2 linked regions of the Macaca fascicularis genome follow. The protein of the gene in region 1 interacts with the protein of each later gene in a pairwise test. Links are inferred from orthologs where the notes say so. Each region holds a gene or a part of one and is shown on either strand. Other genes may lie near its edges.

Evidence for each region.
Region 2: the proteins of TRIM63 (region 1) and SQSTM1 interact in a two-hybrid assay, tested with the Homo sapiens proteins (2 studies listed by BioGRID and IntAct). The link is inferred for Macaca fascicularis from reciprocal best matches to the Homo sapiens genes TRIM63 and SQSTM1.

The regions. Positions count from the first base shown.
Region 1 is NC_088375.1:209,073,662-209,079,104, reverse strand, and holds part of TRIM63 (E3 ubiquitin-protein ligase TRIM63), read right to left. Parts: intron 3,379-5,443; 5' UTR 3,070-3,378; coding exon 2,911-3,069; intron 2,028-2,910; coding exon 1,855-2,027; intron 1-1,854. UniProt on the Homo sapiens protein: E3 ubiquitin ligase. Mediates the ubiquitination and subsequent proteasomal degradation of CKM, GMEB1 and HIBADH.
Region 2 is NC_088380.1:186,726,857-186,731,206, forward strand, and holds the end of SQSTM1 (sequestosome-1), read left to right. Parts: intron 1-666; coding exon 667-881; intron 882-1,220; coding exon 1,221-1,416; intron 1,417-2,333; coding exon 2,334-2,491; 3' UTR 2,492-3,198; downstream 3,199-4,350. Other genes in the region: MRNIP (MRN complex-interacting protein), read right to left, coding at 3,332-3,835. UniProt on the Homo sapiens protein: Molecular adapter required for selective macroautophagy (aggrephagy) by acting as a bridge between polyubiquitinated proteins and autophagosomes.

The DNA of each region.
Region 1 (5,443 bases):
GGCGCCTGTAGTCCCAGCTACTCAGGAGGCTGAGGCAGGAGAATGGCGTGAACCCGGGAGGCGGAGCTTGCAGTGAGCCGAGATCGCGCCACTGCACTCCAACCTGGGCGACAGAGCGAGACTCCGTCTCAAAAAAAAAAAAAAAAAAAAAAAAAAAAAGAAATAGATAGGGAAAATGCCTGAAAGTACTTCATACAGCGCCTGCACACAGTAGGTACCCAATAAATAGTTGATACATTAATCATTTTCCATTAATATCTTATTTGACAGCCACAATAACAGATCTTACTGTTTCTGTTTGCAGACAGAGGAAATGAAACTCTAAAGGCTTACCCAAGATGGTACAGTACATCAGTCACAGAGGCTGACTAGCAAGCACAGTTCCCCAGGCCAGGGTTTTTTTACCTGAGATCTGGTCTGTCACCTTCCCTTGGACTGGGCAGTGCTTGCAGGCAGATGCTTGGTGAAGGTTTTAGACCTTAAAGGCTGTGAGTCAGCACTCCTGGAGTCTTACCAGGATGTCCTGGTTTGTAAAAATCTTTCCTGTAGCTGTGTCTCTCCCAAATTTTTGTGGTGGGTGTGTGTGTGTGTGTGTGTGTGTGTGTGTGTGTGTGTGTGTGTGTGTTTAAATGGAGTCTCACTCTGTCACCCAGGCTGGAGTGTAGTGGCACGATCTCTGCTCACTGCAACCTCTGTCTCCCTGGTTCAAGCAATTCTCCTGCCTCAGCCTCCTAAGTAGCTGGGATGACAGGCATGCGCCACCACGACCGGCTAATTTTTGTATTTTTAGTAGAGATGGGATTTCACCATGTTGGCCAGGCTGGTCTCCAACTCCTGACCTCAAGTGATCCACCCACCTTGGCCTCCCAAAGTGCTGGGGTTACAGGCATGAGCCACTGCACCTGGCCTCCCAGTTTTTTTGTCTGTTTGTTTGAGGCATAGTCTCACTCTGTCACCCAGGCTGGAGTGCAGTAGCACGATCATGGCTGTGCAACCTTGACCTCCCTGGCTCAACAATTCTCCTGAAGAGCTGGGACTGCAGGCATGCCCCACCACGCCCAGCTAGTTTTTAACCTTTGTAGAAACAGGGTCTCTCTATGTTGCCCTGACTGGTCTTGAACTCCTGGCCTCAAACAATCATCCCACCTTGGCCTCCCAGAGTGTTGGGATTACGAGCGTGAGCCACCACACCTGGCCCTCTCTCCCCAGTTTAAGGCTAACCCTGCACAACCTCCACCAGTTACACATTCTGCCTCTGAATGAGCTGCTATTTTATTAGCAGGGAGACTCAGAGCTAGATCAACTGGGCCAGCTCCCAGCTCTTTCACTTTCCAGCTGGAAAACCTTAGCTAATTGACTTCACCTCTTGGGCAGTTTCCTCACCTGTGAAATGAGGATAATAAAGTCATGCCTGATTCATAGAGTTATCGGAAGGTACTAAGATGAAGCATTCCCCGTGCCTGACAGTTCCTCGTGGCACACAGGAAAGTAGCTGTTGCTATCCTTATAGACAACCTGGCTGTTTCTCACTGGGCATTTTCTCTGCTGACTGGAGCCACTTAGCTGGCCCCAGGGCCTTTCTCTCCCTCTCACATCTCATCTTTCCCCCAGTCTCTGTCTTGGTATCGCCTGGAAGGGCAGCCTAATGTCTGGACCCCTTCCCATCCGCTGAGTGATCCTGAGCGCCGAGTTGGGGTGTATGGGTCTCCAATCCTGTCTCTGAACTGGCTCGTGTAGCTAGTCCAGCTAGAGGCCTGGATCCTGAGCAGATGAAGGAAGGGGAAGGAGCTTGGGGGAGCTGGGCACAGCATGGCTGAGAAGGAGGATGGGCCCCCAGCAGGCATGAGAACCGACCTGGAGCACTCCTGTTTGTAGATGTCAATGATGTTCTCCACCAGCAGGTTCCTCTGCAGGCCGTACACTCCATGACGATCCATGATCACCTCGTGGCGGCAGGTGGGGCAGCGGAAACGGCCTCCAGACATGGATACCGAGCTGCCCCGGCCGGTCCAGTAGGGATTTGCAGCCTGCAGGTGGCAAAGGTCAAGGTGAGGCCTGGGCTCCCTCCTCAGCCCTTCCCCTTTCTAATCTCCTCTTATCCTTTCCTCTGCCTGCCCCAACCACCCCAGTCAAACCTAATGACCTGGAGCTCCGCAGGCTGCGATGAGAACCAGTCCTCACATACAGAGCACCTGAGATGCAGCTAAGCAATCGTCAGGATGGGGAGGCAGGAGACCTGGGTTCAAGTCATGTTAATTCTCTGAGTGATTTTGGGCAAGCAACCTTATCTCTCTAAGCCTCAGTTTGTCCACTTATGAAATGGGTATTACAATGAGAGCAAGCTCCTAAGGCTGCTACTTTAAAGATAATATCGTGAAAGAACATTTTGTAAAGTGTCCCTGGGGAACCTCGCATCCTGCCTCCCAGCCAGGACACCTACCCCCTTCCTTTCTTGGGGATTTGGAGCCGCTTCTGTCCCCATATTGTAGGGAACAGCCTCGAAAGGGAAGACGCCTCTACTGCCCACTGCCTCCCCGACACCCTCCTCCCAAAGCTCTGGGCCTCTTGCCACCAGGACCTGGCTCCAGCCCCAGGGGTCTGGTTTCTCTCTCCTGTCCCTGCCTTCCCCGCTTATCACTTGAGGCATTTGACTCTTGATTGGAGAGTCAACAGCAGTGCTCAGGGCAGGGGTGGGGGAGCTGTGGGCAGGGTGGGGAGGGGAAACGCGTCATGGAGAAGAACTGCAACAGCTAGAGCTGCCTCCCATCCCCTCTCAGCCCTGTCTAGAGGCCTCTGCAGGGGTTCACTTCCAAGGGAAAAGAGTTAGAAGGCTAAGGGAGAAGAAGGGCTTCATTCGGAAAGCCGAGTAGCCACCTGGGACCCCCGGATGAGGCTGCACCCGGCACTGACCTGGAAGATGTCATTGGCACACTTCCGGCACAGGTTGTGCTGGCACGGCAAGATGACCACTGGCTTGGTAAACATCTCCAGGCAAATAGGGCAGATCAGCTGCTTCTCCAGGTTCTCCATGGGGTTCCCATCCTGGATCAGGCTCGACTTATAATCCATTCTGTGGGCAGGAGTGAGAGCCGCGCCTAGCTGCCTCCTCTACTGACTTTGCTCTAAGTAGACCTGGGGAGTCTTGCCTTTGTCACGAAACACCAGGTCGGATCCTGTTGGCTTCCTTCTCCTGGTGCCCGAATTCTGTCTTGGTCTGAGGCCCCTCTGATATTTATAGCTAGATCTTGGTCACATGAGCTCCAGGAGGGGACCAGCTGAGCATTCCGATGCCAAGCGGCTGGTGGGGCTTGAGTTTCCTCCAGGACTGAAAGACTGGCCCTCTCGAATCACATGCAGGGATGAGCAATCGCTGTTCTTCTGGGACGGGGGTCATAAACAAGAACAGCCTGTTCAGAGGCAGGCTTAGGGGAAGACTGGGTACCCAGAGCTTCCTCCAGAAATTGGTCTCCCCCCGGCACCAGGCTAGCGGGTCAGGGATAGGACCCAGCAAGTGAGCCACTGGGATTCAAAGGGTTAATAGCCAATGCTATGATGAAAATGTCGAACATTTTTCTGAGTACTGGTGTACATCAGGTAACTAATATACATCACAATGTGACAGATGGATGAGTGATTTGTTTCCCTGCCCTGAGAAACTCACAGCCCAGGAAGGGAGATAGAAAGGATCGTGCAGTGGTGCGATCTCTGCTCACTACAACCTCTGCCTCCCAGGTTGAAGCCTCCCGACCCCAACCCCCTCCCAGCCCCGCTCAACCCCTCACTGACCTAAATCAATTCCATCCCCTCTTCTGGAGTCCTGAGCAGCTCCTAGATGGAAGGGTCAGGCAGCCCCTCTCTCTGAGCTCATCCCTCTGCCTCAGACCTCAGCACAGCATTTTGCTGGAGACAGTGGAGACCCCCACCCCAGCCAGCCCATCCTCCATCCCTTGGCCACTTATTTCACTCAGTGCTGAAAGGCCTCCCTTGAAACGCAGTCCAGTCCCCTCATCTTATAGATTTTGAAATGGGACTAGAGAAGAAAAGGATTATATTCAAAGTCAGTTAGAAAGTAAGTGACAGCCGGGTGTGGCGTCTCACACCTGTAATCCCAGCACTTTGGGAGGCTGAGGCAGGTGGATCACGAGGTCAACAGTTCAAGACTAGCCTGGCCAACATGGTGAAACCCCATCTCTACTAAAAATACAAAACTTAGCTGGGTGTGGTGGTGCGAGCCTGTAATTTCAGCTACTCGGGAGGCTGAAGCAGGAGAATCACTTGAACCCGAGAGGCAGAGATTGCAGTGAGCTGAGATGGCGCCACTGCACTCCAGCCTGGGCGACAAGAGAGAAACTCCATCTCAAAACAAAACAAAACAAAAAAAAAAAAAAAAAGAAGAAGAAAGTAAGTGGCAAAGCCAGACATTTTATTCATTCATCAGACATGTTTCTGAGTACTAGTATACATCAGGCAACTAGTATACATCACAACATGACAAATGGATGAGTGATCTGTTTCCCTGCCGCAAGAAACTCACAGCCGAGGAAGGCAGATAGAAAGGAAAAACCTGCCGGGTGCGGTGGCTCACGCCTATAATCCCAGCACTTTGGGAGGCTGAAGTGGGCAGTCGGATTGCCTGAGGTCAGGAGTTTGAGACCAGCCTGGCCAACATGGCGAAACCCTGTCTCTACTAAAAATACAAAAATTAGCTGGGTGTGATGGCACACACCTGTCATCCCAGCTACTCGGGAGGCTGAGGCAGGAGAATTGTTTGAACCCAGGAAGTGGAGGTTACAGTGAGCGGAGATCGCGCCACTGCACTCCAGCCTGGTGACAGAGTGAGACTCTGTCTCAAAAAAAAGAAAAGAAAGGAAAACCCCTCATGCGGTGCCACAAAGCCCTGCCTGGACACTTAGAAGGCTTCCCTCAGCTCTCTGCACACATTTTAACTTTTCTCCATATTTCTTAGGACATCTTCCACATTGGCAGGTAGAAGTCATTAGAGCAGTTCCAGTGGCTGTTTTGTTTTGTTTTGTTTTGTTTTTTCGAGACAGAGTTTCACTCTGTTGCCCATGCTGGAGTGCAGTCGTGCCATCTCAGCTCACTGCAACCTCCGCTTCCCAGGTTGAAGCGAGTCTCCTGACTCAGCCTCCTAAGTAGCTGGGACTACAGGCGTATGTCACCACACCCGACTAATTTTTGTATTTTTAATAGAGATGGGTTTTTACCATGTTAGCCAGGCCGGTCTCCAACTCCTGACCTCAGGCAATCTGACTGCCTCGACCTCCCAAAGTGCTGGGATTACAGCTGTGAGCCACTGTGCCTGGCCTCCAGTAGCTGTTTTTAAGGTAGCATCTAATGAAAGGACCGTGGGGTCATCCGGTCCAAGGTGATGAGGCAGAGATATGGAGCAATGGTATCAGGTCCCAAAATAAGTCTAAGAGGC
Region 2 (4,350 bases), on another chromosome or scaffold:
TACGTGAGCCTGGAGGTGTGCAGGCTCCCTGCGCTGCCACGTCGGGCCCCATGCCTCGCCTGCATGGCCTGTCCACTCCGAGCGGAGCCCAGCGTTTAGGTGCGTGTTATGTCATCACCCAAAGCCTCTGTGTGCAAGTGTCATGAGGCACACACAGCCTTCCATCACTGTGGCTGGAGGTGCCCGCCACATGCAGTGTTGGCTCCCCCGTACTTAGGGCTTGGCCCTACCTGCTGTGTAGCCCATACCCTGCATGGTTAGAAAAAACAAGGTCTCTTTGACTTTCTGGCTTAGAAGCTGACCTTAGATGCTAGCTGAGGTTAATGTTTTACTGAATTGGAGAAAGAGAAAGCTCCAGTATCGCGGGCACACCGAGAATGTTTCCAGAAGCCACAGAAATTTGTAGCTGGGATATTGGGAGAAGCCTCGGACTCACACGTTTGCATCGTCTAGTCCCATACTAACTGTGTGATTCCGGGGTCAAGCTGGGTAGGAGAACCTAGCCCCTGCATCCACACACTGAGTGCCGCCATCCACACCCTCACCTGCTTGTGTGGACTGAACGTGAGATCTTCATGAGTCTGTAGTCCCCACAGGCCACACTCCTGCTCGCAGCTGCCTCCTTGGGGGAGTGTCACAGCTTTCTCTCTCCTCCTTGGCCTCTAGGCATTGAAGTGGATATTGACGTGGAGCACGGCGGGAAAAGAAGCCGCCTGACCCCTGCCTCTCCAGAGAGTTCCAGCACAGAGGAGAAGAACAGCTCACAGCCAAGCAGCTGCTGCTCTGACCCCAGCAAGCCGGGTGGGAATGTTGAGGGCGCCACGCAGTCTCTGGCAGAGCAGATGAGAAAGATCGCCTTGGAGTCCGAGGGGCGGCCTGAGGCAAGCCTGTGCCCCTCCCACCACCTGGGACCTCGGGCAGCCTAGCGATTTGTAGCTGCACCTCCGCCTCATCCTCAGCACTTATGCAGCCACTTATGAAACCTGAGGGAGCTGCTGCTGCTGCAGTGATGTCTGTGCCATTAAAGTCACTCTGGGAACCTGCTAGAACTTTGTAGTTACTTGGTCTTTGTGAGTGGCTCACTGATCCCCGTAGCCCCCTGCAGCCTTAAACACATGTGTGCGTGCACGCTCCCCGACTGTTTGCCAGGAGTCAGTGCCATGGTCAGGCTTGGCCTGTTGCGCGTGTCTCTTGTATGCTCATGGTGAGTTCTGTTTCAGGAACAGATGGAGTCTGATAACTGCTCAGGAGGAGACGATGACTGGACCCATTTGTCTTCAAAAGAAGTGGACCCGTCCACAGGTGAACTCCAGTCCCTACAGATGCCAGAATCCGAAGGGCCAAGCTCTCTGGACCCCTCCCAGGAGGGACCCACAGGGCTGAAGGAAGCTGCCTTGTACCCGCATCTCCCACCAGGCAAGTGAACCAAGAGTTCTGTGTTCAGTCCTACCTTTCCCTTCAGAGCATCCTGCCCCCCGATTCCAGCGACACAAACAGGATGGGACGTTCTCCACTGCAGGGCTTGTCTGTAGGTGTGGGAGGTTAGGAGTTGGTTTTGTCCTCTTACGTCTACCCTGAGCAGCAGTGAGTAAGCTCTGCTAATGCAGGAGTTCTAAAAATGTTTTTCTTTAAGCAAACTCCAGAGCCAGGAATATTAATTGTAGGAGTTTCTAAAACTTAACATGCAGACCAGGAATTAAGGTAGGTGTGACACAGAGAGGGGGCAGCACTGGGTGTGTCCCTACTACTCACACTGGGCTCAGACCTCTTCAGTGTCTCCTCAGGGAGTGCTGGTCTGAGTGGGGGTCATAGCCAAGATCCCTGGAAGAGCCAGGCAGAAGCCACCGTTGAAGTGGATGGTGTGGAAGGCAGCGGTGGGGGGTGGGGACAGCTGACAGAGACTCCTCATTGTCACTGCAGCCGTGTGTGTGTAAACCAAGGTCTGTGCACAACCTGCTGTGCGCTGCCAGTGTGTCTTCTCTGCCTTAGGGCAGGGGATGGCGAGCTATGGCCTATGGGCCAAGAGTAGTTCTTGTATTTTTCAATCAAAAGATGTGACAGTTAGAGGAAATGCGTATTTCAGTGTCCAGCGATAGTTTTGTTTACATACCACCTGGCTGCCTTGTGTCACAGTGGCAGAGTTGAACAGTGTGAAAAAGACTGGTTGGCCCTTTACAGGGAAAGCAGGTCCACTGTGGCCTGTGAGGGCCAGAGCTCTGGGCACTCGGACACTGGCAGGCCTTGGTCCCGCTGGCCAAGGCAGGAGGGTGTGTGTTTCGGGTCACTCACAGGGCTCAGCATCACTCCTCATGGCTTCCTTACTGTTTTGGCAGAGGCTGACCCGCGGCTGATTGAGTCCCTCTCCCAGATGCTGTCCATGGGCTTCTCTGACGAAGGCGGCTGGCTCACCAGGCTCCTGCAGACCAAGAATTACGACATCGGGGCGGCTCTGGACACCATCCAGTATTCAAAGCACTCCCCGCCATTGTGACCGCTTTTACCCACCTCTTCTGTGTCCCCCTCTTCTGTCTCGTAGCTGTTAAGCTAGTGTAGAATTGCAGGTCTCTGTACGGGCCAGTTTCTCTGCCGCCTTCCAGGATCAGGGGATCAGGGGTTAGGGTGGAAGAAGCCATTTAGGGCAGCAAAACAAGTGACATGAGGGGAGGGTCCCCGTGTGTGTGATGTCTGAGAAGCAAGACTGGTCTCCTGGGTGCTCTGGTTCCCTGCAGCAGGGCTGGGCCTGCGAGACCTGAGGCTCACCGCAGTGCTCCTGGCCCCTCCCTGCAGGGGCCACATTAGCAGCCCAGACATAGCTTGCCTAATGGCCTTCCACTTTCTCTTTTTAAATGACTCGGAGGTCCCTGACATTTAGTTGATTTTCTGCTAGAGACCTGGTACGCTCTGATTTTAGATAAAGGATGCCTAGGTGTTGTTGGCGGGTAAGCAGGGGAGGCGGCTGTCCTGGCACAGGCAGTGGGGAGGCCGGGGCAGCCAGTGTGGTGGGCTTCCTGCTGGGACTGAGAAGGCTCATGCAGGGCATCCGTAATGTTGGTTTCGCTGAGAGCTGCCTCCTGGTCTCTCCACCACTGTAGTTCTCTCATTGCCAAACCATCAGCTGCTTTTAAAATAAGATCTCTTTGTAGCCATCCTGTTACGTTTGTAAACGATCTAATTAAATGGCATCAGCACTTTAACCAATGACATTTGCATAGAGAGAAATGATCTGTTTGACAGTAAGTTTATTGGTGGTTCTTATACAGTATCTTTAAAAGTGCCTTAGGGAACCCTGTCCCTCCTAACAAGTGTATCTCGATTAATAATAACCTGCCAGTCACAGATCATCATCAAAGTCTTCACCAGTTGTAAAGAGGTCACACAGTCGTGGGAGTTGGGGATTCTGTGGCTCCTGGACCAGGGGCCCACCCTCTGCCCAGGGAGTCCTTGCGTCCCATGAGGTCTTCCCGCAGGGCCTCTCAGGCCCGGATGTGGTGGGGTGTGTGGCCCGAGGAAGCTGGACAGCGTCAGTGGGCCTGCTGAGGCCTTCCCTTGAGGCCTGTGCTCTGGGGGTCCCGGGGGTCCCCTGCTTAGCCTGTGCTGGAGCAGCTGGCCCAGGATCCCTCTGAAGAGGCGTTGGCTGCTCTCTGTCCACATGTGAACTGTTTCTAGGTGACAGGACAAATCGCGCCCATTTAGAGGAGGTGGCGGTGACCTGCTGGGCAGGACTCCATAGCTCCTTCCCAGGACCCCTCGGCTCCCTGGCGCCGCAGTCGGCAGCGTTCTCCCGGAGGCAGGGGCTGCTGCCTTGCTTCACCTTCCATGTCAAGCCAGCCTGTCCCTGAAAGAGAAGATGGCCATGCCCTCCATTTGTAAGAACAATGCCAGGGCCCAGCAGGACCACGAGCCCTGCCTGGGCCCTGCCTGGGCCTCTGGTTCTGACACTTTCTGCTGGAAGCCGTCAGGCTGGGACAGGCTTTGACTTTGAGAGTTAGCAAGACAAAGCAAATAAATGCCTTCCACCTCACCCCAAACCATCTGCTAAATTGCATGACCAGGCTTTCCAAAAACAAGACACGTCATCTGGTGATCCATCTCCTGGGGACCTTAGAATCGGGTCACCAGTGCCTACAAAGGAGGTTTGAGCAGGGAGGGCCTAGAGACGTCTGGAAAGGGGTGGGCTGGCTCCATCCTGCCATCTCCCACCTGGGAGCAGCTCTCCAGAGCCTGCCGGGTTCTGCAGCTGCACAGGTGGCAGCACCGAGCTCCCAGTGGCTTCTCTCACCCCAGGAACCAAAGATGCTCTGAAAGTTGGGTGTAGGCCGGGTGCAGTGGCTCACGCCTGTAATCCCAGCA